Xenopus tropicalis: one gene and its partners. The protein of the gene in region 7 interacts with the protein of the main gene of each other region in a biochemical or structural test. Links are inferred from orthologs where the notes say so. Each region holds a gene or a part of one and is shown on either strand. Other genes may lie near its edges.

Region 1 (3,005 bases), on a different chromosome or scaffold from region 7:
CAGCACCATTTTATTTAGAATGTAATCATATAAAATTATTTCTATAATGTGATTATAGTCATTAGTACAGATGTGGGTGCAGAAAACATTGTCCTTTAAATGTTTTGGTATCCACTTTAAACCCTGACCATAATGTAAACAACTTGGACTAAAAGGAAACCTATTTAGTAGTAAAAGCAAAATTTGTTCTGTGTTTTTGTTTGATGTTTTATGTATACATCTGTGTAACATTATAACTTTTGACCTGATTTTTGACGCCATTTGTAATAATGCTTTGTTCAAATGTATTCTTTATTTTAAGATCTGGTTTAACAAATGTGCTATTTGTAATAATGCATTTTTTTAATTTATTTCTTTTTTATATAAATGCCTATGTTAGGTAAGTTCTGAATATGTAATACTTCATTGATGTTGTAATGAGCTGTGTAATTTGTGGTTCTTATCTTTGTGGCATGGAAAAACTTTTTCAGGTATGTTAAAACCAGTTAGTTCTGTATTCAAGCTGTACTAAAGGTTAAAATCCATTTAGCTTAGACCAATTTTAAGTTGACTACAAATATTTTAAAAACCCACCAAGTACTGTGTATGTATACAATATTATTTTGAAGCTCAGGAACTTTAATTGCCAAATACTAATAAAAATATGCAGATTGATAATGCAGACAGTAGGTGAGAGAGCTCTGCACTCTACAGGTGGCAGTCACTGTGAGAATTAGGGAACGAAACCAAAGGGATCAGACTCAATAAAGATTGACTGCAGAATGCTCAGGAGGTTAAGACTTAACAATGTGGTTAATAGTACAGAAAAAGTGCCAGCTTCTGTTTTATATTCATCTGTTTTACCTTTTGTTCCCTATTAGGCTGCCGCAAAGGATCAACTCCTCAAGTATTGCTCCCTGAAGAGGAGAAAATTATAGTAGAAGAAACCAGGAGCAATGGACAGACAGTTATAGAAGAAAAGTGAGTAATGAATTTAATATAGTCTTATATTGGTATTGTCTTATGTGGTAGAATGTCATCCATACTACCTGACATTTTATTGTAACTTATTCTACAGTACAGATCACAGATTGTGAAATACAAGGTTCACCATTTCATTGAATGACTTACATCTTAGAAAAGTCACATGGTTTTTAGTGACGAGGGCTTGATATAGTGCCAGCAAATTCACACTGTCCTTGTCCTGGCCAGCAATATTTTTTTGTTTTTTCTGTTGTAATATGAAATGTAATATGAAATATAATATGAAATGTACTTTTTCAGTAAGATCCCACAGTTTTTAAGAATCTTATTTTTTTGACCAATTTTTCCCTCTAACATTTTAGGAGTCTTGTTGATACAGTTTATGCATTAAAAGATGAAGTTCAGGAACTAAAACAGGTTTGTGTTTTAGTTTTCAATTTGTTGTTGTTTTTGTTCAGCCTATAATTTCATGTTTTATCAGTTTCAAAATTTTCCCATGAATTATTTAGCAAGTAAAATATTTACTGAATAACCGTGCATAACAATATCCCTTAGTAAGTAAGCAAGTGAAGGCCACTGAGCTTGTCCACCTTTGTGGCCCTGTTGCTGTGATTAAAGTCACAGATTTATGTTCAGATTTTACAAATGATGATGTAGAAAACCTAATTAAATTATACTGCACTAGTGTTGCCCGCGAAGGTTTATTAACTAGGCAATTTGGGATTACACAATTTATCTTCTGCACTGAAATGATTTGTTCCAGTGTGGAAAATACATATTCAAATCCTTTTTCCTAGCATGTTCTTTCTGGCTACAGAATTGAGTGCCTGCCATTTACTGGCTGAAGGAGTAGGAGGCAGTTGTATTATTGCCTTTCATTAAAATAAATGCACTTGTAATCATCATTTATACAAATTTAATGTAAGCTTGGTTGTTACTAGGGATGCCCCAAATCCAGGATTCGGTTTGGGATTTGGCCAAGATTTTTCCTTTTTCAGCAGGATTCAGCAGCTAGAGATGCCCTAAATAAAGAGATCCCCAACATTTTTTATTCAAAAGTGTTGGTGAGCCACACAAGCATGAAAAAGTTCCTTAAGGGTGCCAAATAAGGGCTGTAATTGGCTATTTGGTAGCCCCATGTGGACTGATGGACTGCAGAGCTTCTGCTTGGAGTAATACTGTGTCTCTTTGCTTCCAAAACTTGCCTCCAAGCCAAAGAATTAAAAATGGGCACCTACTTTGAGGCCACTGGGAGCACCATCAAAGGGGGTGTTGAGCAACATGTTGCTATACTGTAACTTAATCCTTTTTAATGTGTAGCGAAACCAAATCAAACATTCAACCCCTAGACAACCAAAGACCCCAGTTTTCTTTCACAGAATGAAAGTTTTCATTTTGCTGAAGCTTGAATGCACAGATTGGGGTTAGCATTCAGTTTGGTCTTTAGCTGAATTTAATGCTAGGATGCTTTCATTGAAATTACCTTACTTGGTTTACTTGCCCTTAAGGTTTTAACTAAAGAGAAGAAGCTTACCTGCAGGTTCAATTTTAGAGCCTACAGTACAGTTTTTTAGATTAAAACCATAAAATGCATTTTATTTCAGATTGAATCTGTTGACTTGTATCCTCTTAACAGACTAAAAATAAATGCAGAATATTGTTAAAAAAGTATAAATAAGTGTATATAATCTGTACCTTCAAAAGCATTGTCATATTTCTGATTGTGTTTGTTTCTTTCATCATTAGGATAGTAAAAAGATGAAGAAATCTCTGGAAGAAGAACAAAGAGCTCGCAAGGAGCTTGAAAAACTTATAAGAAAAGTCCTAAAGAACATGAACGATCCTTCTTGGGATGAAACCAATTTGTAATTATTCGTGTCTTCCTCTTTTCTGCCCAGGGATCAAGAGTGGAGCTCTCTGACATTTGGAGAGCCTTGTTGCATTGGGGGCACTGCAGAATGAGATTTTACTGGATCTTAGCAGGACTCTCACTTGCACTGGTTTGATACCATGCATAGGTGACTGCCCCCAGACACGTCAAC
Region 2 (4,224 bases), on a different chromosome or scaffold from region 7:
TACTGTTTATCCAAATCTAATTTATTCTTTCAGGACTTAACAGTGATATAAACAAGCTAATGCTCGGGTCTTAGAGTACTGGATCTTGGCCAAACTATTGCTAATCTCAGAGATTTGTTAGATTCTTCTCTAAACGTTATGTACTAAAGCATTAAAGAAAGCCATTTTCTTTTCACTACTGCATCAACCAAAATCAAGGGCTTCATAGCACATGTAATATGAATCCAAGGACAGGACAATTATATAGATATGTTAAGTTATGTATTTCCATATGGAGACAGAAATGGAGAAGAGAAAAGATGATCAATAAAGGGCAAGTGAACTTTTAATTTACAACTGTACTATTATGCTAATATTAATAACAGTATTGAAAATTATATTACTGTTTTCTTCTGAGCACAGCTGTAGTCAAAACACTCCACATGTACAGTTTATTTGCATTATATATTTATACCATTTTACAGTGTATATACACTGTAAGTGCACACACAACTATGAAATATTGAATAAATTATCTACTGAAAAGCTTTTAAATCCTGAAGTGAAATCCAAGGGCAGATACGGGAAAAATCGTAAGAGAAATTAGAGTCTCGTGCCAACCTTTGTTCTGTTACTGTATGTCAATGCATCACACGGCTGCTTGCCAACTTTACTCAAAACTTTGCACCTTCTTAGGATCACTGAAAAATCTAACCAAGGCATGTATTACCTCTGACTAATAATTTTGTATATAACTTATATTATTTTGGGAAGTCAAATTAAATAGCAGAAATTGGTGCAAAGATTGCAAACTGTAACTGAAATATACACAGAATTATATTACAATGGTACTAAACAGACTCTTAGTTACAGTTACCTTTTGTGTGGTTTGCATAAGTGTTAAAAAAAAAAAAACAATCAACCGGTAATAATGACCTCTAATGTAGTAAATATTCTGTTAAAGGGATTCTGTCATGATTTTAGGTATACTTTTTATTTCTAAATTACACTGTTTACATTACAAAAAATTCACTCTACCATTTAAAATTTTATTCTTGAACCAACAAATGTATTTTTTTTGTAGATGTAATATTGGTGTGTAGGCGCCATCTCATGAGGCTGATTGTGAGCTTTCAGAACGAGCCAGCGCTACACATTAAAACTTCTTTCAGGTAACCCATTGTTTCTCATGTTCAGTGTAACTGGAGGAGTCCCAAGCCGGACTTTGATTTTTTACTATTGAGTGCTATTCTACCACTTTTAGCAATACAGGTATCAGGGAGCTGCTATCTTGCTCCCTTCCCATTGTTCTGTTGATCGGCTGCTGGGGGAGAAAGGGAGGGGGGTGATGTAACTCCAACTTGCAGCGCAGCAATAAAGAGTGACTAAAGTATATCAGAGCACAGGTCACATGGCTGTGGTACCCTGAGAAAAGAAGGATATGGCTAGCCGCTAGACCCATGTGATATTTCAAAATAAAATTCTGCTGGAAAGGCTCTATTATCTGATTAACCTAGCAAGTGGCCCACACTGAGTTTCAGGGATGCTGAGGTTCCTTACAGGCAGTTTGTGCATACTTATTAAACACCCTGTAGCCAGAGGAGCTTCTTGTTATTTGTTGCTGTTTACAACAGCAGAAACGACGCAGGGGGGGGGGCTATATATGTACCACAAAGGTACCACAACTTCCTGGAAAGGAAGAACACTATGACCACAAAAGTCACCAGAGGGAAAGGGTCCCTGACTATTCTTTGGGAGTTAATGCAAGCAAGTTGAATGGCGCAGTATTCTGAAGTGAATAAATAATTTTATTTTCTGCACCTTCATATATATATATATCTTTATCAGACCCCTGCCAGGCACTTATTTCTTTGACATACTTTTCCTGCAGTTCCGGAGGTTCCCATAACACATGGTCCATAATGATTTGTAAATGTCTATGTTTTAATTCACACTAAAGCCCACAACATGTATATGACACTGGCAATAGTTCGTAGACCTATAGAACTTGGACTATGTATACAAATGAGTAAGAGGACAGTGTTATTACTGGTGGTACTTGGGGCAATGCAGGGCTGCCCAAACATCACAGAGCAAGCCCTCCAGATGAACAGCATTAGGGGACCTGCCAAGGGACATGTAGAGCTGTGGTTGTCATACACGGTATTCCAGGGGGGATCAAGAGCACACAATCAATTACCCCCCCACACCCCAGACTTCCCTAACTCATAATGAATACTGGGCCAATGAGGCCAATTTTAAAAAACATCTTGCCTTAATATACAGTTACATTTGAAACAAATGAATAAATCTGCAGTGTTCTTGGAGCTATAGCCCAAACTGCACAACTATTCATGTTGAATAGCGCTGCTCTGTGCCCCTCAAGTCTCAGTGCCCATTACTAGAGACCCTGCATTACATTCCTATTAAGGTACATGACATTGGCTCTACTACTATTCTATGTATCCGGGTGAAAGATGGTGGGGTGGGGGGGGAGCAGCAGACGCACATCAGTAAGTACCACATGGCACGGAGCCAAAGGCAGACATAAAGGCAATTAAAAGGTGAGAGAATGTGCAAAGGTTACTGAAGTAGTTCACGAAGGGCACGAAACAAAGTGCACCGAGCATGCAGGTCCTGACTGCTTATCTAATATTATATATAGTTCAAGTAACTAGCCACATGACAGACAGAGCGACATAAAGATCCCTGTGTGTGTGGCATTAGCAACAGGAAAGCAGCGCTTACCAGAAGAAGATCTTGGAGCAAAAGTTGGCATGCTGCGAGGGGTTCGCTTTACTTCCCTTTGGCACCGGCTGCATTCTCTTTGCTTCAGAGTATTCAGCTACACATGGGGGGAGCCGGGCACACAACCGAAACCACACACTCGATGACAGCCCCCCGCACGGTATGTCCCACCGCACACTTCCACTGCCCCAGCACTCAGCAACAGCAGCAGCGCACGGCTTTACCGCGTAGCTCCGCCTATCATCGTATGCTGGACATCTGATTGGCTGCTGGCTCTTTATTACCCCACATGCAGTCGAGCTGCTTCGCGTCAGAGGCGATTAAGTCGGAGGCGGGGCGGCCTTTGTTTAGATTAAGGTTGGTAGTCATGTGGGCCTGGGCGCAAGTTTGCACAGTTGCTGATTGTAGAAGGTGACTCTCCAGCTTACAACTGGGAGCAACAGAAAAATGGGTAGGTTGTATTCATACGTGGTTAGGCAGCACTTTTGTAATGAATGAGTGGAAATCAGAGTAACCTGTGTGCCATTAAAAGGGTGCCAGGCATTTCGGACTAGAAGACATTTGTGTGGGCTTCTAAACTCTATTGGGCAGTGGCAGGCTGGGAGATTAGTCGCACCGCAACATTGTTTCTGCGGGCATATAATGCCGTACCACCGGCAAGAATGTGAATTGCCAGTAGGGTGGCACACGTGTTGCTACAATTTCCCCAAGTTTCCTCTCAAGGAAACATTCTTGCCAGTGGAATGGCATTGGGGGGAGATTAGTCGCCTGTGGTAAGGAAGATTCATAGTGGTGCAACTAATCTCCCTGTGTGTCACTGCCCTAAAGGTGGCCATACATGGGCCGATTTCATCTGCTGATTTAAGTCCTTCATACCATTTTGGCAGCTTATCTGCCTGTAAATGGGCACTCCCAACAGGCCTCCCTAACAGATATCTGGTCTAGAATTGGGCAGATCTCGATTGAGTGGGTTTGATTTTCCTGTCGAATCGGGGATCACATCGGCTTCTTGATGCGCTCCAAAGGCACCTATGCCCGCCATTGGAATTTGATCATTTGTCTGATCGAATTAGCCTAATACTACCCTCCCTTTAGTATACTAATAAATATATGTTGGTATAGAGAGCTGCAAAGATTACTGTAAAGGGGCACCTCCCCAAATGCTGTTTATATATAAATACAGGCCTGGCTTGAATCTCTCGTGGGACATCTGACCAGAGTAAACGGAACCATTATAAGCAGGGCCGGAACTAGGGGTAGTCAGAAGAGGCAGCTGCCTAGGGCGCAACGATTGAGGGGTGCCAGGCAGCCTCTCCTGCCTACCCCTAGTTCTACTTTGTCATTGCCTCCACCGCTAATGCTTAGCGGTGGAGGCAATGACTGATCATCGCACTGCCCCCTGCACCTCCTCCTGTGCTTTGGCGCGCATGCGCCATTGGGGGGGCGGGGAGGTGGGCGGAGTTGGCTGACCGGGTTGCCTAGGGCACCCGGTCGGCT
Region 3 (4,213 bases), on a different chromosome or scaffold from region 7:
ATGGAAGCTACTGAGACAGAGCTATAATGGCAGCTGCTATATTAAAAAAAAAAAAAAGAGAGGGAGCATCTAGGGCTGATTACTCACGTATGAATAAGCTTTCTGCCGAATAAATATAGCGTTCTAGGTGGCACTAATGTGGCTAATCTATTGGCAGTAAATGCCAAAATACATTTCCTTTTAACAAGGAGGGGGGGGGGAGGTGGTGAGAGAGAGCCTTAAAGGCATTGAGGAATAATCCTAAAACAATTATAAGTGCAAATTATTATCATGCCCAGTACCAACAATGATCTAGAGCCTAATGATTTGTTGCATGATAAAGAAACGTACAAGTAGTTCAGAGCTGACCCCAAAAGAAATATTTGAGGAAACTAAATGCGCTACTGGATATTGGTATTACACACAAGAGTATTAAGACAAAGTGAATTGAAGTTTTTTTTTTTTTTATAATCGACCATCTGAGGGTTCCCACATTTTACCACCTCCAGAAGGACTGATTAATCCATCGGGCAAGACTATCATTTCAGCGGTAAGTTTTCTGACCATAAACTGCCTATATAGGTATAATATTTTGGTGTTTATGGTGAGATTATTGAATTTATATATTAAGGATACATGTGGAGGCAGATTTACTAAAATTCGAAGTTTTCTAATTTTTTTCTTAGAGGGAGCTTCTAGGGCTGTTTACTCAGGTATGGTAAAGCTTTCTGCAGAATAAATATAGCGTTCTAGGTGGCCCTAATGTGGCTAATCTATTGGCAATAATGAAAGTAAAATATGATTTTTGCCAATTGATTTTTTTTTTTTTTTAAATCTGTTTGCAATGTGTAATTGTCCAAGACAGGGATGAAAAATATCTAGTATTCCTAAGGTTTTTTTTGCATACTGTGTATGCAACCACCCCTGCAAAATGGTTGGATCCCAATGAACCTGTTGCACCAAATGTTAATCCAATCACTGACCCCCTGACTGCTAATTGTTAGCAGCCTGAGCTGCTGCGTTTGAACATACATTTCCAGACACAGGCTGAGCATATTCTATTTTTGACTGCAAATAGCTGCTGCATAAACACCAGTATGTATCTAACGCATTTAAAAATGTGCCCGCTTTCACCGGCCTGAATAGCTGAACAATTCATGTTGCATTTTCTACTCCAAGTTCCAACATGATGTACACGTCACGTGACTATTCCCCGCCCTTTGGACACACTTCTATTCACGCCCTTAGCGGCTAAATTTCATAGTATACAAGTGTTCACGTCACGCGAAAAAACGGCCAATATGCAAAAATAAACAGAGTACTAATTACAAAACATGGTGACTAGTACACAACTCTTACGATTACACCGACAACTAACGTGCTATCGTCACAAACACAGTTCCTCAGTTAAGCAAAGCCAGCATGTAACCCTGGCTGACTGTGTAGTTCCACCTTAAATCAAGAATAGGGCGGACTCATCAGTAAAGGAAAAATGCTTCCTTAAACCGAAGCTGTCCCTAAACCGCCAGTTATCCCTCCCTTACTCCGCCCACGGGTTGGGTTGTGTCTGGATTAGTTTGAGGTGAAGCCGTAGCTGTTGTTACCCGTTGGGTGAGTAGCCGGTTCTGTGCCTCTCAAAAAGCCCAAACGAGCTGTTGGCACTCAGCCACGCAACAGGCACCCTGGTATCAAAACCGCTTCATAGGGTGCGCCCACACCGCTCCGGGGCTGTTACGGTGAGTAATAACAGGGTGTGCATATATGTGACTTCACGGACGCGCGCACATAGGAACACGCAGTATACTCGGGTCTCCTATTTATACTTGCCTGTTGCCCATACGCGTTACCGTGTATTATACGTGAATGTACGTAGACATGGGGGAGAATATGCATTTAGACGAGAGTAGCTCCAAAAAGGAGTTAACTGTCTGCCATGTTAATGTATAGTACGTGTGTGCGTTTTACTCCGCCAGATACAAGACACGGAATCAACATGTCTGGATGCTGAGTTTTTCCTAGGGCATACACCCTCCCTATAAAATGTAGATGCTTTCGTATTCGTCTGCTGAGTGTAACTCACTATGCTGGGAGCTCCCGTTGCTGTAGCGTTTGCTAGTGTTGTTTTACGCACCACCATATGTGTAGTTTTGCAGTGCCGCCTGTAATAATTGGCAAAGGTATTAAGATAATCATTTGTTTTGCAAGGGTAATTTACGAGGGAAATGTGCCTCTATTTTGGATATCTCTCTGATTGTAGTGTGCTAAGTGCGACAGAAAAGATTAAGTGAATGAATGGATGAAAGATTTGGGATGGTTGAATATTAAAGGTTCAGTGTATAGGTGTTTGTTTTGTGAGGGTATGGAAGAAAAAACAGCTATTTTGTACAATGTGACTTTGTGCTTGCATGAAATGTGATATTTAACTTTATTCTTAAATATACTGTTTGCTGACAGTGCACAATGCTACATTTAACTGTTAATTGGTCTTTTAATAGATTGAAAATGTACTAATTATTATAAATGTCCTGCCTTTTTCTGATGTTTTTTTTGGAGGGTTTAAGTGGTATTAAACTGTTTACTTTAACCTTTTATGGTTTTGCAGTCATGCTTAGAGCTTACATTTCAGATACCTTGTGTTGATGGTAATGTATATAGCAGCAACAAATACAGAAATTAAAAAATCAGGTAGTATCCATTTGTGTTATTGTAGGTTTGTCTCTATAGTTTTTTTTTACCTTTATGGCTACATATTTGAGATCTTAATTTTCTGTATTCATTTTAGTTGTTGCTTGGTTGCATGGTGACAAATGCTGTTTAGACCCAGTGTTGTATCGCAATGGATATTCACAAAACAAAACAATCACAGAATACACCCAGTTATAATGTAGAGGATGTACTATTTATATTGTATGCTCATGCAATCTGTTAACTGTGATGTTAACTTAGAAGTCTGCAACTTTTCTGCATCTTGGCAAATGCACAGAAACTGTTGCTCAGTATTCACCTCCTTTAGTGAAAGCCTGGAATAACTGTTTTCTGTGCAATTAAAATAAGAATAGTTTTGGATCACATCTTGCATTTTTTTTCATCAAATAGCAATGCAGTTCTACCTGTTATTCATTTGTTTCTGATTTCCTTGGAACCAAATGATGGGAGAACTGGTCTTTCTATAACAGGGGTCTCAAACTCGCGGCCCGCGGGCCATTTGCGGCCCTCGGTACAATATTTTGTGGCCCGCACCAACGCCTTCTCAAAAGCAATGAATGGATCGCGATTTGTATTGCGATTCAAGGGATAATGCAAGGCACGGCGGGCGGGAGCTGCTGATTGCGGAAATGACGTTATGCCATCATAACAGTTATTATGGGAAGACGTTCTGTGTGCACAATTAGCTGCTAAGGAGCTAATTGTGCACACAGAACGTCTTCCCATAATAACTGTTATGATGGCATAACGTCATTTCCGCAATCAGCAGCTCCCGCCCGCCGTGCCTTGCATTATCCCTTGAAAGTCAATTTTTTGTGAAATCCCTTATGCGGCCCAGCCTCATCCTGACTTTGCCTCCTGCGGCCCCCAGGTAAATTGAGTTTGAGCCCCCTGTTCTATAAGTTGGGTTCACTTTATTAATTTAATAATAAATTGTTAAATTTGCAGATCATTTTATATGTATTAAATTAAACTGTTTATATGATATTTTGAAATTATGTTTATTTAGCTGCCACAATGCCTCCTGCAGTTCAGGTGTCATGCCTAGGTAACCACAGAAAAGCAGCATAAATGTGCAAAAATGGTTATTGCACTGTAGGATTATGTTTTTTATACTGCTAGAAGTAGTGGCATGTTTTGTAGTATAGAGGCAGAATGGATCTAAGATTCTTACTGATCTTTAATTAAATCACAGATTCAGTAATAGGCTTTAAAGTAGTAGGTGGGCGAGGTCATTAATTACAGGCAGTTAGTGGGCAGGAAAACCCAGAATGCTTTTGAATGAATGTCTCAAAATAGATAGATCATTTATTTGAAAATCCAGTTTGCTAAATTATGCAGATATCATCTGGGCGGCAACCATAGCTGCAAAAGAGAACACAGATTCAGCCCACTATGCCCCATGTGATTTAGGCATTGATAGGAACAAACACTGCACAGGAGCTGGTCTAATTTGACTAATATTGAGAACGTATGAAAATATAATTTTCCTCTTTACAGATCCACAATAAGGCCTCACCTAGAGTAT
Region 4 (4,277 bases), on a different chromosome or scaffold from region 7:
CCTATTTATGAAAATATGAGTTTGGTTTAGTCGCCTATGATAGATCTCTGCTATAGCGGGCGCCTAAACACTCCGAAAGCTCTTTGCGTGTCTTTGGTATTACGAAGTTGCGTGAAGTTTCCTCCTTCAGGCAACTCTGCGCGACTTCGGAAAGCTGAAGCGATGCATCGGCCTTTACACCAGCGACTCCTTTTGTTGTCGGTGGAAAGGCATCTCCTGCAGTAGCCTAAGGGTAAGAACCCACAGAGCGGTTTAGTCGCTCACGATAGTTCTTCGCTATTATGGGTGACGGCGCGATTTGCGGAAATCGCTGAAGTTGCCTCGAGAGGCAACTTCGGAGATCGCACCGCCGCGTATGCCATCCCACCGGCAATTTACTTTTTCACCGGTGGGATGTCATATCGGGGAGATTAGTCACCCGCAACAAGGGAGATTAGTCACCCGCAACAAGGGAGATTAGTCACCCGCAACAAGGGAGATTAGTCACCCGCAACAAGGGAGATTAGTCACCCGCAACAAGGGAGATTAGTCACCCGCAACAAGGGAGATTAGTCACCCGCAACAAGGGAGATTAGTCACCCGCAACAAGGGAGATTTGTCGCGGGCGACTAATCTCCCCGTGTACCAGAGCCCTAAAGCAGTAAAACTTATTTGGTGGCGGAAACCATAAAAACCCTTTATCAGAGCTGTCCTGAGTTTCCAGCATTCAAAACAATTCAATTTTCACATTTTTGTTATGTCAGAATAAGTCTTCATAGGATGATAATGACTGAAAATTCTCAAAATGTTTTTAACCATTTCATTAGGGGAAATATCTATACAAATAAAAGTAAACTGTATAAAAAACACATTTTTTTCTCTTATACTAACAAAAATTAGCTGAGAATCCGAATTTTACCCAGTGAAACTGAAAGGGCCACCCCGGGCAAAGGATGCTGGAAGTTGTAGTTCCATAAGAAATAGAGAGCTGCCGGTTTAATAAATGGAGACTATTACTAGGACGGAGGGAGTTGGGGATGTGGATTAAGTGACAATGTAAAAGCACAATGTTGCCAGCATCTCACCTTCAGATCGTTCTGTGCCGATAATAATTCCAGCCCTCCTTTCCCGCATTAATGGTACATCCCGAGCAGAGTATCGTGACTGACCAAAACCTTCCACGCCCCTTTCAGTCAACAGCATCGGTAACCAAGGCAACGGCAGGCCAGCGAGCGATTGGTGAATTTGGAACCCAGGGGCAGGTCAATAGGTAAGATGGGCGGGGCCTCGGTCGGCCAATCGAAGCGAGATTGCGCTGTGACGCGGAAAGCCCCGGAGCCCGGCGCTGGCTCGGTGTGCTGGGGAGAGGGCGGCAGGGTTCGGGCACCGCGCCATGGAGACCGGGTAGGGGACAGCACGTCTGGGAGTTATACTGCGCCTTGGGAACGGGACCGTGCAGTCCCTCATGAGGCGGACGGACCCTCGGGGAGGCTTGAGCCGGCAGGTAAGTGCGTTTTGCTACGGGACCACTGGCGGTGCTCGCATGATACGTCCCGGAGTCGGGACCCCAAGCTGCTTGGTGTTGGGTGGGGGCAAGTTTAGACGCATTCCTGCTAATGGAGTAAAGAGCCGCTCTGCATCAACTTCCCACCTGGCCATGCACTCCGGCATCTCCCACCTGTGGCTCTTCCGGGCGCTGTCAGGGCATTCTGGGAGTTGTAGTTCATTAATAGGTGGATGATCCCTGATATGTTCTAGTCTACACTTCCAACATCCCATATTGCTTGATTTTCCCATCCAGCCTTTTGCATTGGCACCCAGCATCCTCCTATCTCTACATTTCTATTTTATTTTCAGCCAATGCCAAACTGCCCCTGTGGAATGGGCACCCTGCACCCCCACTACCTTACACCCTATTACTGTAATGAAAAGGATGCAGTTCCCTAGCACTCTCTTTTGTTCATGGACACCCAGCTCCCTGGCATTATCTGATGGCAGTCATGCTCTTATATGCACCACATGGGCATCTAGACTTCCCTCCCATGCCCTAGCCTTGTATGCCGAGTCATATGTTGGTGCCAAGTGAGCTTGCAATCTTTTGAAAGCCTTTGAATTACTTACTGAACATGCAACTTAATGCTTCCTGCTTTTGCCTCTGCAACTAATACTGTCTGTATTGTATGGGCTGGAGGGAATGTAGTAACTGATACCAGTCATGTTGCTATCCTTCCTGTTGCCTATGATTGCAAGCTCATGTGGTTCTTAAAGTGACAAGTCATCCGCGTACATGAGGAACAACAGTGTGTCTATTGCTTGGCATTGTATTTTGCTGTAACTGTACTGTATGTGGGTTTGTGCCTTGTGTACTTGCCTTCTCTCTTTATGAGACACATAATAGAGTTAGTGCAACAGGCAGTACACGCCGAGGGGTTCCTTCTCTATAGTGACAATTTGTGATATTTTATAGCACTTCACTTGCCCTTGGGCAAGAGACTTAAAGCATTTGGCCAGTGAGCAACCTAATAGTCTGTAATAAAACTGCAACAGAATAACAATGGCAGAATCGCAAGTGTGAACAAGCCCTGAGGTTAGACATGAGCAGACTCGGCACACATTGCAACTTTACTTTTGACCTTTGGTGGATTTGTGGGTTGGTTTCTAATATTCTGATATATTGTTTCCATCTTGGTCAGCCAAGGAGCCCCAATGTTTGGGACCTCACTTGTTGATCTAACACTTCCAGCATTCCCTGTGTATTGGAGGGCTGTCGGTTTCCCATCCTTTATTTGATTATTATACTTCTGGCTTTAAATGAAGACTGTACCATAGAGCTTGTACTACATTAAGAGGGGATTTATGCAGACTCTTTCAGAGTAATGAAAGGTTCTGTGTCTCTGTAGGATATGGGTCTCTTTGGATCACTATAGAAATAATTGTATTTTAGCTGTTGCTGTATAATATTATGTGGGGGATCTAAGTGCCGTACTAAATGCGGTTTGACTTACACGGGCAACTGCAGGGATGCTCATGCTGCTGGTTCTGCATACAGAGCTTCGAGTGTCGGCGTAGCCATCCTTGCAGTGCCGAGAGGGATAGACCTGGTGCTGTTCCCAGCAGATGACTAGGCAGGTGGGTACGTTGGATTAGGAATGCCAGGAATGCATAGGGAAATCCAGCTGCTGCAACTGTGGTCAGTGTGCACTGCCTTTAACCCCTGTTTATTGCAGCTCTATTTACCATATCATTGCTATCACAGGAAAGCAATCTGGCCCCAAAGTGGGGGAGCAGGTCACACTGATATTGTATGCAAAAAGGCAGGGTTTCCTCCTAGCAGCCTTCATGCACATTGTTGTTCAGCTTTTTCCACTATCCATCCATCTGCTGAAGGTGACCTTCTCTTCTCGCAGGTAAAGGGTTAACTAGCTCAGAGGGTGCAGTTTCCCACTGCCTCTCCTCAAGTATCACATCAGCGGCTGATTCATTCTTGTACACAGAGACGGCTTGGCAACAAATTCAGTGCTGGCCTGGGCAGCACTCATGCACATTCAGCTTGCTCGGTTATTCTCATGTTCAGGCACCTGGGAGTGCATCCTACCACATTGTATCGTTTTTATACCTATTATTGCCATATGTTACTTTAAAATAGCCAGTGTTGGCAAACTCTGCGCCTTGAGTTGTACAACAGAATATGTCTCATGGTAATGTTTTTGAAAATAAAGGGGAAGTTAACCTTTTGGTGTAACGTTATCCAAGCAGTTAGTCATTTTTCCCCCTTTTTAAAGATTTGCATTTCCTTTAACTGTGTAGACAGATTATTGGCCTTGTATTCTAACATGGGTCACTTGGCAGATTACAATTTAAAGGGATAATATATATATCCAAGCAAAATAAATAGAGCTTAAGATGAAACTAAAATTCTGCCATTTTTTTAAATTTAATAAAAATGCATGTTTCTTTGTTAATATAAATCTGCAAAGAGGCATTTATTATACTTTGACACTTTGCTCCATATGTAATAAAAGGCACTAAGGTTGCCGTGGTGCAGTAATCCATAGCAACCAATAAGATGTCTGTAAACAGGTATCCTGTAAATTCTTTCTGCTGACTTGTTGCATTAGGTTACTAGACCTGGGCAAACGTAGTGTCTTTTTATTACATAACCCAATTATATATATAGATATAATTATCCGATATTGGTTCTTGAGACCGATTTGGTAGCTTATCTGCGGCACCAACGACGGGCCTCCCCGATCGGCATCTGGTTTGAAATCCGGCAGGTTTGATTTTTTTTCCTTTGA
Region 5 (4,433 bases), on a different chromosome or scaffold from region 7:
ACCCTAGGATGCCCCAACCCACAGTGGGGAGGGACACTGTAACGGCCACGTAGCCAGGGGTGCCACTGCCATAAAGGGAGAAACTCTCCTCAGGCAGCGGCACCCAACAAGTTACCGGGGGTGGAAAAAAAACACTTAAAGAGCCAAAATTCTGATTTTTCAGTTGGAATTTCAGCTCTTCTAATACAGACAGTGCTATTGTGACCACTGCACTAGTAATGCAACCCCCCCACCTGCACCAAAGCACGGGAAGCAAGGGGGCAGCATGGAAAAGCCCACCTCAGGGTGAGCAACATTTCCCCTGCACATAGTGCACTTTACTTGCTTTCACTTTTATGCCCCAGCCTTTTGGCCAATGGCAAGGAAATTTTTTAAAATCCGGCCAATATTGAGACATTTGTTTTGTTACTGAGCTTTTATTTTTGTGTTTTTTCTTCTATGATCTAGTGCAACCTACGATCTGGATCTATCCATTTTTTACAATCTAGCGCAATATACACTTATGGATCTGCACGCTGGCTTGAGGGGGATAATGTGTGGCCATTCGGCTCCTTTCCCTTAAAACCTGGCCCCACCATAAACATACAAGACTGAAGATTCTCTTGGGGGTCAATGGAGCTCTTATAGCAGGGCCTCAACTAGGGGTAGGCAGAACAGGCATGTGCCTAGGGTGCAATGGAAAGGGGACCCCTAATTTGTAGCTCCTGGGGATCTATTCTCCACCATGTTTGCTGCCCTAGGCTAGAGGGGGTGGCGCTGACAAGCAGGTATGAATGGGCCCAGCACTGCCTTATAGGCTTTCTGGATGGAGGGTGAGGATAAAGGGGTAACCCTAGCCCTGCTGTGAAGGGAACCTGAAGACCCTCGCCCCTGCCGGCCTTCTAGCTTGGGGGGTCAGAGATAAAGGGGTTCTCTCTAGTCCTTGGACAAAAGGCAAGAACCTGAAAATTCTGGCCGGTTGGTCAGGTTTTGGGCTCTTCCTTTTCATTGCACATTTGCACTTGTGCACCATGCACTTTTTTGCACTAGGTTATTTATAAGGGTGAAGACACACAGAGATACTAGTAGCAGCTACTTGTCGTGGCTACTAAAATAGACAATGCTGATCATTTACTGATAGTTGTCTCTATGTGTGTTTAGCAGAGGCAATTCTCAGTATTGTCTATGGCAGGGGATTTTCTGGGGTTTAGTAGCTGTGAAAAAGTAGCTGCTACTAGTAGCTCAGTGTGTCTTCACCCTAATACATACATGGGTTTCAATAAAAAAAAAGACCAAGGTATGTAGGTGAGTGTGAATAAGGAATTGTGTAGGTGGGCATCTATTGCTTATCCAGAGCTGCCAGTCACTACTTGCCAGGAATGCTAGGAGCCTACAGCCTAGGGGGTATGACTATATTCTAGGGAAGTGGGGGGGAGGGTAGATTTAGCAGCTGTGAGCCCAAGAGCTTACCATCTAGAGACGTTTGAGCCCCACAGGGGTGAGTTAAGCAGAGAGAGCAGGGAGTAGAAGTGAGTGCCACTCCTATAAGTGTCTGTGTCCAGCCCTCCGCCTCTCCCTCCCCTGTGCCCCCTCCCTGCAGGAAGTGCCTGTGTAGGAATGAAGCGGGGCAGCTACACAGGCAACTGAGAACTTCTTTCCCGGAGCAGAGAATCAGGCAGGGGGGCCGGCTGGCAGCAGGGGGGCTGGCATGGCACTGCGGGGGCACTGACACTATGGGGTTACGGCCATGGCTCTGGGGGCTCTGCGCCCTGCTGCTCCTACTGAGGGGACGCGCCGCCGAGGAAGGTAAGGAGGGTGCGGGTCGCAGCGTAAGGTTCTGCCCATGTACTTACAGCGCGTCCGGGGAAGAGTTTGGAGGGAATCGGGGGTGACCTTTATATAGTAGGGAGTTCATCGGCTGCGATTTCAGTCCAATCTGAGTCACTCCAGCTTTGGTTGCGCTACAACTGACGCAAGTATTCGGGTGCAACAGTAGGGGACGCAGGTAAAGCATTCCTGTATACGCAGCCATTGGAACCTCAGCAATATTAATGAGACTAGAATTAAATAAAGGTGCTCTATAGCCTTAATGGCCCAGTGTGAAAAATGATTAGTGCGACAGAGATGCTAATTGCCCTTGACCAACTGCATAGAAGGATTTCATTGGGGTTATCTCTAGAAGATTGGTGTTAAGGTGGCCATACACTTTAAGATCCGCTCGCTTGGCTTGGCTAGATATCGGTCAGGCATGGCCATCGTTTCTACCCCTACACGGGCCAATAAGCTGCCAAATCGGTCCAAGGGACCCATATCGGCCCGTGTATGGGTACCTTTACCGGATGGGTGGGCACATTGTGCCCCCTGTTTGCTCTGCTCTGTAGGGTAAAACAGTGACTTTTGTTTCTGCAAAGTACAGTGTTTTCCTACCTGTGATGCTTTCTGTACTATAATAAACCTATATTATATATCACTATAACCCAGTGATCTCTCGGGGCAACATGTTGCTCCCCAACCCCTTGGGTGTTGCTCTCAGTGCCCCCAAACCAGGGAGTTATTTTTGAATTCCAAAGTTGGTTGAATAAAAACAAGATTTACTACCAAATAAAGCCCCTGTAAGCTGATAGGGTGCATAGAGGCCCCTAATAGCCAATCACAGCCCTTATTTGGCACCTCCATAAACTTTTATGGTGCTTGTGTTGCCCCCCAAGTCTTTTTACATGTGACTGTGGCTCCCGAGTAAGAAAGTTTGGGGACCCCTGCTATAACCAAAAGCAACTCTGGGTAAAGAACCTGCTAGATAGCTTGGTAAGGGGTATAGTATACAGGGTACCATTCAGTTGCATCTCTGGGCAATGGCACAAGGGGTGATTGCAAGCTCTCCCCCCAAAACACACATAATTGCCTCTCCATTGACCTGGATGGTCTTCTGAAACCTGCCCCAAAATCAGACAATTATTGCTCAGAAATGCCAACTGAGCAATTCCAAGTGATAACTGTCTGACCTGCGAGTGGGGTCCAAGGGCAGTTATTATTCCGGGCAACGGAAGGGCAATTGCTGGAAATCTCAGGGGCAGCAATACATTTGCAATCACCCCATGTGCCATTCCCAAGCACAGTAATTCACCTTGATGGCGGCTGCCAACTACTGTGTCCCCCCCCCCCAACCAAACTGTGGGCTCAGAGCAAGTGTTGGAAGGGGCCCAGCCTGAAAGCCATTGAGGTAGAATACCTATTGCCCCCCCAAAGAGTGTCCCCTCTAAGCTGTGCACACAAATTTGGAAGCCAGAACACACACAATATAGTGCAAAGAATCTAAAAGCACAGTTTACTAATTTTTTGGACCCACCAAATGCTTTTGGGCACCAGAAGACATTTTTTTACTGAAGGTCGAGGATTGTGATGAACATGTTGGGAGATGCTCAGGGCAATTGTGTATGTTACGAGCCCAGAGGTGTGTGTTCTGACACTATAGTAAGAGCTCACGTGCTGATGCCTGAAGGTACCGGTGCTGATGTTGGTTTATTAGAAAGTAAGGGTTGCTGGTACCTGTATATTAGGAGAAGGGAAGGGGGTTCTGGTGTATTGGATCAGCAGGAGCTGGGTCAGGGCTCAGCATTCCCTCTAACTCCCTATTTGTGTGTGTGGGTGCACAGAAAGGGTCACACTTTTGCCCCCCTTAGTGCTCTTGCACTTCTGCCCAGGAGATACATAAATTACCCCTTAAGTTTTTCTACACCTCAATATGTTGTATAAGCTGGTCCCCGCTTTGTATATGCATGCACACTACTGCACATTGGTCTAAAAATGCTACATGGTTGCTTTGGGGTAACGGACCCTGGCAACCAAAAAACAGATTGTAAGGTTTTCCTTTTATGGTTGTTTTTTATTGCTTATATCTGATTTCAGGCACTCTACTAATTATCTTCCAGTCTAAACGTCCCCATACACAGGCCGATTGTAGCTGCCGATATGGGTCCCTTGGACCGATTCGACAGCTTATCGGATATCGGGGGAAGATCCACTCGCTTGGTGAATCTTAACGTGTATAGGGACCTTTGCTTCCTAACATTTGCCTGGTTACTAGGGTATTTAAGCCCTAGCAACTACATAGCTGTTAAAACTCCAAACCTACCAGCTGCCAGCGTAACTGCTGAGGGAGCAGCAGTTGTGATTGCATCTGGGCCTGCCCCCCCAGTAGGGCCCCCTAAATTCACCCCCCTGCCGGAGTCACCACCCGTACCCACCAAGACCTGAAGGTGAGAGCAAGCGCACAGCACATCTTCTGGCAGGGGGCCATACTGGGGGGTAGTGATGTGTGGGTCGACATTTTGTGGATGGGCCAAGGGCCGTGGGCATAAATAGAGGCTTCCAGGTGCAGAAGATTGTGGGCAGGGAGGGCAAAAGGGAAAGCTGAGTCCAAACTCACCGTCGACCCGCCAATAGTGTGCAAGTGT
Region 6 (3,757 bases), on a different chromosome or scaffold from region 7:
GTTTGCTAAGGAAGCATACACAGAAATACCCAAGTGGTATATGAAGCCGGTAATCAGTAAGTGTTGTTACCCATCTCTAAAACCTTCTACAACATTGAATTTCCATAGTTCTGTGTTCCCATTATAGAATACCCTAGGAGTTCTCCTCTATCTTCTCATCCAATGATCTGTTTCTATTCACATATATCATGACTGGGACAATGCAGTCTTCTTCTTATACACAAAATGTTAGCTTAATCCAGCTGGACCACCAGCTCTGGCTGATATAAGAAATAACTTCATGGGAGCTTATTCAACAAATAGTACTACTAGTTTAGTAATAGACTGTTCTTTCTATTCTCTCTGACTAATATGAAGTATTTAATGTTTCAAGCCCAGGGTGTTCAACCTAGCCAAATCATGGCCAACCCTTAACATGCTCATCAAAATCATCGGTAACTTGGTCAGAGCAAATGAAAACCTCACCCTGGTGTTGGCCATCATTGTCTTCATCATAAGCATCAGCTAAAATCTCCCCTAATGTAGACTTCAGGTTGGGCCTATCCCATCAACTGCTTTGGGTCCCACCATGGGGAATGTATATAAGCTTAAAATATATATATATATATATATATATATATATATATTAGACTATAGCATTGCTGTCCCATTGGAATTCTGTGGGTCAGTTGTAACTGCATGGAAGATTATTCACAAAACACTACTACAGGTATAGGACCCATTATCCAGAATGCTCGGGACCAAGGGTATTCCGGATAAGGGGTCTTTCCGTAATTTGGATCTCCATACCTTAAGTCTGCTAAAAAATCAATAAAACATTAATCAACCCCAATAGGATTGTTTTGCATCCAATAAGGATTATTTATATCTTAGTTGGGATCAATTACAAGGTACTGTTTTATTATTACAGAGAAAAAGAAAGTCAGTTTTAAAATTCTGAATTATGTGATTAAAATGGAGTCTATGGGAGACGGGCTTTCCGTAATTCGGAGCTTTCTGGATAACGGGTTTCCGGATAAGGGGTCCGATACCTGTACTAGTTACTGTTCTTTCTATTCTCTCTGACTAATATCAAGTATTTTAATGTTTCAAGCTCAGGGTGTTCAAGCTAGCCAAATCATGGCCAACCCTTAACATGCTTATCAAAATCATCGGTAACTCGGTCGGAGCACTTGGAAACCTCACCTTGGTGTTGGCCATCATTGTCTTCATCTTTGCGGTGGTGGGGATGCAGCTATTTGGGAAGAGCTACAAGGAATGTGTGTGCAAGATTGCCTCTGACTGCGAGCTACCACGGTGGCACATGCACGATTTCTTCCACTCTTTTCTCATTGTCTTCCGTATCCTGTGCGGGGAGTGGATAGAGACAATGTGGGACTGCATGGAAGTGGCAGGGCAAGCAATGTGCCTGGTCGTGTTCATGATGGTCATGGTGATTGGTAACCTGGTGGTAAGTTGGATTTTCAAATCTCCACATCACCCCTTACTCAAACCAGAAATGGGACAATATCTGGCCCCAGGCCTGTCTGACTGTAGAGGTCTCTAATGTGTTGACCATGGTCATTTAGAATGACTAAAGCTGGCCATACACGTACCGATAAAATCATGCAAAATTTAGTTTTGTTCAATTTTCAGACTGTGTGTGGGCTCAGAATTATTATTTTTGCACTATGGCGATCAGTCGTTTAGTCGATCGACAAGGTTAGAAAATCTGCGCATATGTTGTGTATCTGATGATATCCTTGGGGGACCTACAATGGAAGTCAATTTCGTACGATTGGTGCCAACTATTTCATATTGAGAACATCCTTTCGATTTGTTATTTTTATCCTACAATTTCAGTCTGAAAGGTAGTTTTAGATCTTTGCATTTAAGCATACGACCGATATCCGAACGTTTGTTGGAAAAAGACTAAAATCTGAACGTGAATGGCCAGCTTTGACACTTTTAGGATGGAATGCATTAGTCATTGAGCTACCTGTCTCTAAATAATTAATATAAAAGCAAATAAGTATTCACCCTAGTAGATAATGAATCCAGTTGCACACAAACTCGCACCCTGTATGCTGAGCATGTGTAGTTAAGGTAGGGATTCTACAAGGTGCAACAGTTGTGGCAGTCACTAAATATTGCTTTCTCCTATATTTCATTAAAGGAAATGATTGTGCTCATAGCCTACTAAATTAAGCACTTTTGACATTCCCAGTTAGCAACTTCTGTGACAATAATGACATTATCATGCTCAAGGACAGTTGGCGTGCTTTTGGCAAGCATTAGTCAGCTGAATGTTAACAGCCCACAGATTATGTCAAGTGCAAGCGGACACATGTATCTCAAAAGTTTATTTTGTAAGTATGGCAAAGGGTCTTTGTGTTACAGAAGTATGTGGCGAAATTAGAAGCAGTGTTTATTTCTTTACATCCGACAACCAAAAAGAGGGTTGGCCAAATTTACCTCCACACTGGTAGCCAAATTTCCAACATAAATTTCCAATTAGAAGCAGTGTTTATTTCTCTACATCTGACAACCAAAACAAAGGTTGGCCAAGTTTACCTACACACTGATAGCCAAATTTCCAACACAAACCATGATCTGATCATTGGGTAGATGCCCCAGAGATCAGTACAGCTCAGGCATTCACTTGTTAGTCCAATATCTGGCTTATCATACTTTGCTGGAGGATCTACCATTTTGTTTCACTCTTCGATAATTCTTCTTAGACTATATAATGATCTTCATATTGCACACCTGCTCTTTACTTTAAAAAAAGGCTTTTTAATGCTGCATACATATATTGCATAGAGATACATCATGCCTTCCACTCTCCCATTATCCACTTTTTCCCTTTCCAAAACTCTCCAGTCAATCTTGTTGCTCCCCAACCCCTTGGATGTTGCTCCCAGAGGCCTCAAAGCAGATGCTCATTCTTGAATTTCTGGCTTGGAGGCAAGTTATGGTTGCATAAAAGCCAAGTATAATGCCAAACAGAGCCTTCTGTAGGCTGCCAGTCCACATAGGGGCTATTAAGTAGCCAATTATAGCTCTTATTGGCACCCCCAGGAAACTTTCTTATGCTTGTGTTGCTCCCCAACACTTTTTCAGTTTGAATGTGGCTCTTTAGGGTATGGCCTAGCAAGACGTTGAGTTGCCATTATTGGAAGCATGGCCTACATGGAAACACTGACTAGAGACATGGAACAGCCAAGCCAAAAAAGCTGTAGCTTGTATGAATCTGATCTCTACAAACTCACAGTAATTTCATGCAATATAAAGTCTTAAGAGGCTGCTATTTATAAAGTATTGCCAAAGATAATTGGACCAAATGTTCAAGCTTTAATCACACACTGTGCCTCTTCTGCCCCCGTTTTTATAAACCAGAACTACAGGAAGAATGGGGCTTATTTGTTGTTGTTTTCAAACGTGTTCCATGCCAATAACACAGCTCCAAAGCACATGCTGTTTGTCACGTACAAATATAGGCCCAATGCTATTTCCTCCAGAATTCCTTTAAGGCTAAAACAGGACATTAAGAGGAAGCAACTCAAGTAGCTTAGTAATCCTGTCAGAAAATAGAAATCCAAAAGCGAGTGTCTGGGTACCTAACTGCAGTATTAAACAAATGGGAGACAAGATGTCAGTGTAAAGGTTCTATTTACATGCTCTGAGCGGTACCACTAAGAGCTGGTTATTGTTTTCAGATGTGCTGTTGGCACTACTGGGGGGCATCACACAAGCAGTTTACAAGGGCTTCATACAC
Region 7 (4,228 bases):
GCTGTAGATTATTACTACTGTAGACAATCATAACCATGGGGGTCACATTTGAACTAGTAACTTCACAACCCTTCAGTATTGACAATGAAGCCCAGGTATGCAAAAAAAAAAAAAAAGAAAGCACAACTCTAGGATTCAGTAGATCTGACCTAGAAAAATAAAATAAATAAATTATAAAAGTATTGGCATATTTTTCCCTTGCAGTCAAATTGAAAAAGTTGTATTGTGCTGCTGTCAGTGGAGCACTCGGCTGGCCGATTAGGAGAGCCAGTTTAGATCTGCATGCCTTCCAATGAACAAAGAGCTCCACTGTGTGTAAGAACAAGGCAGAAAAAAAATGAAATCCCATAGCAATCTGCCCTGCCCCCCACCTCATACACCCACACACACCCCTTCTGAAGATAAAGTTAATGGAAACTTTTTCAAACACGCAAGAAATATGTAAAGTTTAAAACTATTTAAAATGTTTGTCAAGGCCCTGATCTGGGCAGTGGGGTTAATGTAACGAAGGCCATTGAAGTAACACAGGAAAGAAAAGAGCAGGCCTCCAACTAACACTCAATTTTTATAGCTGTAAAACCACACCAAACGTTGCCTTGTATTCTCGCAAAGCTTCGCTTTACGTAACTGTGTCATTTAATATTTCCTACAAATAGAACGGTAAGGAAAACAGAGCATGACATGGACACTCTGCATTATTTATTTAAAATATGTATTCTTTTTAGTGTAATCATTTTAAAGAAGCAGCTGCAGGTCATTTCAACTACAGGTATGGGACCGGTTATCCAGAATGCTCGGGACCTTGGACTTTTCAGATAAGGGGTCTTTCTGTAATTTGGATTGCCATATGTTAATTTTGCTAAAAAAATCATTTAAACATTAAACTGAATAGGGTACTGGTTTATTATTGCAGAGAAAAAGGAAATCATTTTCAAAAACTAGAATTATTTGATTAAAATGGAGTCTATGGGAGATGGCCTTCCCGTAATTTAAAGCTTTTGGGTAACAGGTTTCCAGGATCCCATACCTGGATCAAATCCCATGTGCCAGGTCAGTCACAGACAGGTAGATGGCACAAATATTAATACATTAATAAAGCTGTAAAGTTAATAATAAAATATCTGTTATTTGATTTACCATCAGGCTCAAACATTGTATTCTACTTCTCTTAGTCTTGTCATTTTCTGCATTGGTAGAAAGTCAACTTAAGCAAAAGAGCTTGAGCTCCATTAGAAATTCTTGTAAAGATGCAAAGCAAGTTCTGGTCATTGTTGCATTTACAGAACTGCTAGGCAACGACTCCAATCAGTGTGGACCCCCCCCCCACACTACATGCAGACAGGGCCTGCTGAGCAGAACCACCAGAGTAAAACTGAGTTTATAGCAGACATGTGTGTAACCTGGGAACTCACTGTTGAAGACAGAAGCTGCAATTTTATAACAGCTGAATGGGAAACATATCATTTACATGCATGTCCAACCTGGGGCCCTCCAACTATTATGCATACCATGACAGTCAAACACTACTGTAGTACGAGGATGGAGGGGCTCAAACATTATATCCCTGATCTAAAATAGCCAAGACTTCGAAACTGTGGGCCTGAACAAGGCAGTAACTGGGGGGGGGTGATTTAGCAGGTAGACTACAGAGGGGAAATATGCTTTTTTATATACTCCTAGAATTCCCGGAATGACGGTTAACAGGGTAAGATTTTTGTGGCAAACACTCAAGGAGCTATGCCATCTGTAACAGAGTTACAAGCGGAGGAGGGCCCCAACCAAATGTTCAACATGAATGGGGGTTCTGAAGTCTGAAAACCGTAAGGCCTAAGGGATTTCTACCTTGCCAATCAGCTGACAACATATTCTTCAACCGTCTTGACCTGGCAAGGAATACTGTAAGTTCAAATAACAGCTGGAAGGCCAGACATCAGACATTTGCATTCTAGATTGTAAGCTCTCGGATTTCAGTTTCTCTTTGTATGCTTCATGTCCGTGTAGAACTTGAATAGCATCTGTAATATACTAATAATCACCCTGGAAAACAGCACTTATTTATAAACAGCCCCAACAGCAACAATAGAAGCATCTGGTTGCAGCACAGAGAGGGAGAGCAGTCTGCCCGACAACTCAGACAGCTGCAACATGCTGCTGGACCATTTTGTGCAGCAGAGAACTTCTTATATCAACTGTGGTGATGTTTAGAGATCAGACAACATCTCGGTCCATTTAAAACCAGCAGCATCCTTCTGCCCCAGACTAAAGCATGTTTCTGCCCAGAACCAACCACCTGCTAACTTGCCCTGAGTTTTACTGCTGAAGCCCCCCAGTCCTTGGCCAAAACACAAAGCAGCCTCATCCAACTCTCCCCCCCTGTCTCCCCTGTAAAAGCCATAGCATTACCTTATTAGAGTTTGCTAGATATTTCAGTGTAATGTTCCACTTCCTCCTGCATTGAGTTTATTGTAAATCCAACAAGCTTTTCTCTTCTCAGAATCCAGAAAGGTGTAATAATCCCACAAACGTATAGAATTTTCCGCAGAGAGAGAGAGAGATGGCCAGAGAACAACAAACCCGAAGGCCGGGAGAGAGGATCACAAAGGGGCTGTAGAAGTTCCAAACCGAATGAGCTCAAGTTCGTTTCCCTCCAATGCTTTCACCGTTCCTTAATCCTGGGAGGGGGCTGGAAACATCCCAATTAGAGAGAAGCAAAGGACAATTCTTTACCAGGGACGGGATTCCAGGTCCACGTTTCGGGGAGTAGAGAGAGAGTGGGGGTCAGGGGAATAAACAGGCAAGGGGAGGGGGGTGTAGGAAGAGAGAGAGCCGTGTAGGGACAGGGGTCCCGCTGCATTCACTGCTCCTCCTAGTGACACCCGTACGAGTCATGAAGGGTGAGCCGGAGTGTAGGGTATATTGTGCCACTATGGGAGCCGCACCCTCAGCGCACTCACACACACAGCCCGGCCAAGCAGCACTCTCTCCTCCCCAGTACTGCTCGCAGCCGCACACACTCTCCCCTCCCCCTCTGTCTCCAGTCTCTCCTCCCCCCTCTCATAAGGGCAGTCTCTTTGCTACTCTCACTTCCTGAGGCGTCTCGTTTCTCCTCTATGTGGCCCCTGCTTAGGCTCTCTCTTCATTTTACCCCCATCATGTAACATATTTCTAATGAAAAGGTGCAGTAAAGCTGCTGCCCCCCCAGATGTGTTTCAATCACAACCCCTTAACCCGCACTAGGAACCTTTGTGGGTATTTTAGTTCTGCAACAGTTGAAGGGGGGAAACGAAATCCTATTTTTAAAATGCTTATTCCATCTTTTATTTGATTGTCAGCTTGTAGGACAAGATGTAATGAGACTCAGGGACAAGTGTTACTGTACAGGACCCTAGGTGTATGTAGATTGGATCCATTACTTAGTGTTTAATCCTTAGGGTTAATTTGTGATGCTATTAGCCCATTCAAATAGGGTGCTGACCCAGTGCCCCAAGCTATCAGTGACTGGTCCACAGAGGCATTTACATGAGTGTGTGTGCCAGTCACTGTTATCCTAAGTAACAGATTTGTTAGGGGCTCATCACCTTGAAAGTGTCATGGAGTATCCAAGGCTATTGGCTACAGGTGCCCAGATTTAAGTGACCACCACAATTTGTTTAACCTTTTTACTTGTGTTCTGTACCCAAGGGTCATGGCAATATAAGTATTATACAGTCAGTGCCTCTACATACATAGCCTTTAGGCAGTCATATACAACCGGACCTTGTACAGTATGTGACCAATCAGCTTGCAGGTGCAATACAAGGTTATTATTATTACTATTATTAATATTAACACATATTTATACATCACCAACATATTTTGCAGGACTGTACAATAAATGGGTGTATGCACTGAACATACAGATTACATACAAATAATTAACTGGTAACCGATACAAGAGGTAAAAAGGGTCTGCCCAAAAGAGCTTACAGTCAGTTTCATACATTGTCGAGGCTGAACAACGGGAACAGCAGAAAGTGAAGACACTTCCATACAATGGAAAACGTGGTGCATCAGCAGATTAGGTTTTTAAAGGAGAATGAAAGTTACAATAACTGGGGGATGCCAAATGTTAGCTTCCATACATGTACCAAAAATCAAAGATTTTATTGTCATTTGTCAGGCCACCCTAAGCCTTAGCCACTAGGAAGGAATGCACTAAATCAGGAGAGCTACTCAAGTAGTGGTAAAC

Evidence for each region.
Region 1: the proteins of erbin (region 7) and arhgef7 interact in a test that uses a peptide from one of them, tested with the Homo sapiens proteins (2 studies listed by BioGRID and IntAct). The link is inferred for Xenopus tropicalis from reciprocal best matches to the Homo sapiens genes ERBIN and ARHGEF7.
Region 2: the proteins of erbin (region 7) and abcc4 interact in a test that uses a peptide from one of them, tested with the Homo sapiens proteins (2 studies listed by BioGRID and IntAct). The link is inferred for Xenopus tropicalis from reciprocal best matches to the Homo sapiens genes ERBIN and ABCC4.
Region 3: the proteins of erbin (region 7) and plasma membrane calcium-transporting ATPase 4 interact in a test that uses a peptide from one of them, tested with the Homo sapiens proteins (2 studies listed by BioGRID and IntAct). The link is inferred for Xenopus tropicalis from reciprocal best matches to the Homo sapiens genes ERBIN and ATP2B4.
Region 4: the proteins of erbin (region 7) and pkp4 form a complex in vitro, tested with the Homo sapiens proteins (4 studies listed by BioGRID and IntAct, with this or other methods). The link is inferred for Xenopus tropicalis from reciprocal best matches to the Homo sapiens genes ERBIN and PKP4.
Region 5: the proteins of erbin (region 7) and erbb2 form a complex in vitro, tested with the Homo sapiens proteins (4 studies listed by BioGRID and IntAct, with this or other methods). The link is inferred for Xenopus tropicalis from reciprocal best matches to the Homo sapiens genes ERBIN and ERBB2.
Region 6: the proteins of erbin (region 7) and scn4a interact in a test that uses a peptide from one of them, tested with the Homo sapiens proteins (2 studies listed by BioGRID and IntAct). The link is inferred for Xenopus tropicalis from reciprocal best matches to the Homo sapiens genes ERBIN and SCN4A.

What each region holds. Positions count from the first base shown.
Region 1 is NC_030678.2:116,900,940-116,903,944, reverse strand, and holds part of arhgef7 (rho guanine nucleotide exchange factor 7), read left to right. Parts: intron 1-860; coding exon 861-960; intron 961-1,325; coding exon 1,326-1,380; intron 1,381-2,709; coding exon 2,710-2,832; 3' UTR 2,833-3,005. UniProt on the Homo sapiens protein: Acts as a RAC1 guanine nucleotide exchange factor (GEF) and can induce membrane ruffling. Functions in cell migration, attachment and cell spreading. Promotes targeting of RAC1 to focal adhesions. May function as a positive regulator of apoptosis.
Region 2 is NC_030678.2:122,375,976-122,380,199, reverse strand, and holds the start of abcc4 (multidrug resistance-associated protein 4), read right to left. Parts: upstream 3,035-4,224; 5' UTR 2,802-3,034; coding exon 2,728-2,801; intron 1-2,727. UniProt on the Homo sapiens protein: ATP-dependent transporter of the ATP-binding cassette (ABC) family that actively extrudes physiological compounds and xenobiotics from cells.
Region 3 is NC_030678.2:70,336,240-70,340,452, reverse strand, and holds the start of plasma membrane calcium-transporting ATPase 4, read left to right. Parts: upstream 1-1,368; 5' UTR 1,369-1,715; intron 1,716-4,213. UniProt on the Homo sapiens protein: Calcium/calmodulin-regulated and magnesium-dependent enzyme that catalyzes the hydrolysis of ATP coupled with the transport of calcium out of the cell. By regulating sperm cell calcium homeostasis, may play a role in sperm motility.
Region 4 is NC_030685.2:73,687,405-73,691,681, reverse strand, and holds the start of pkp4 (plakophilin-4), read left to right. Parts: upstream 1-1,302; 5' UTR 1,303-1,483; intron 1,484-4,277. UniProt on the Homo sapiens protein: Plays a role as a regulator of Rho activity during cytokinesis. May play a role in junctional plaques.
Region 5 is NC_030686.2:9,878,587-9,883,019, reverse strand, and holds the start of erbb2 (receptor tyrosine-protein kinase erbB-2), read left to right. Parts: upstream 1-1,556; 5' UTR 1,557-1,712; coding exon 1,713-1,785; intron 1,786-4,433. UniProt on the Homo sapiens protein: Protein tyrosine kinase that is part of several cell surface receptor complexes, but that apparently needs a coreceptor for ligand binding. Essential component of a neuregulin-receptor complex, although neuregulins do not interact with it alone.
Region 6 is NC_030686.2:15,628,008-15,631,764, reverse strand, and holds part of scn4a (sodium channel protein type 4 subunit alpha), read left to right. Parts: intron 1-1,093; coding exon 1,094-1,450; intron 1,451-3,757. UniProt on the Homo sapiens protein: Pore-forming subunit of Nav1.4, a voltage-gated sodium (Nav) channel that directly mediates the depolarizing phase of action potentials in excitable membranes.
Region 7 is NC_030677.2:187,603,486-187,607,713, forward strand, and holds the start of erbin (erbin), read right to left. Parts: upstream 3,054-4,228; 5' UTR 2,404-3,053; intron 1-2,403. UniProt on the Homo sapiens protein: Acts as an adapter for the receptor ERBB2, in epithelia. By binding the unphosphorylated 'Tyr-1248' of receptor ERBB2, it may contribute to stabilize this unphosphorylated state.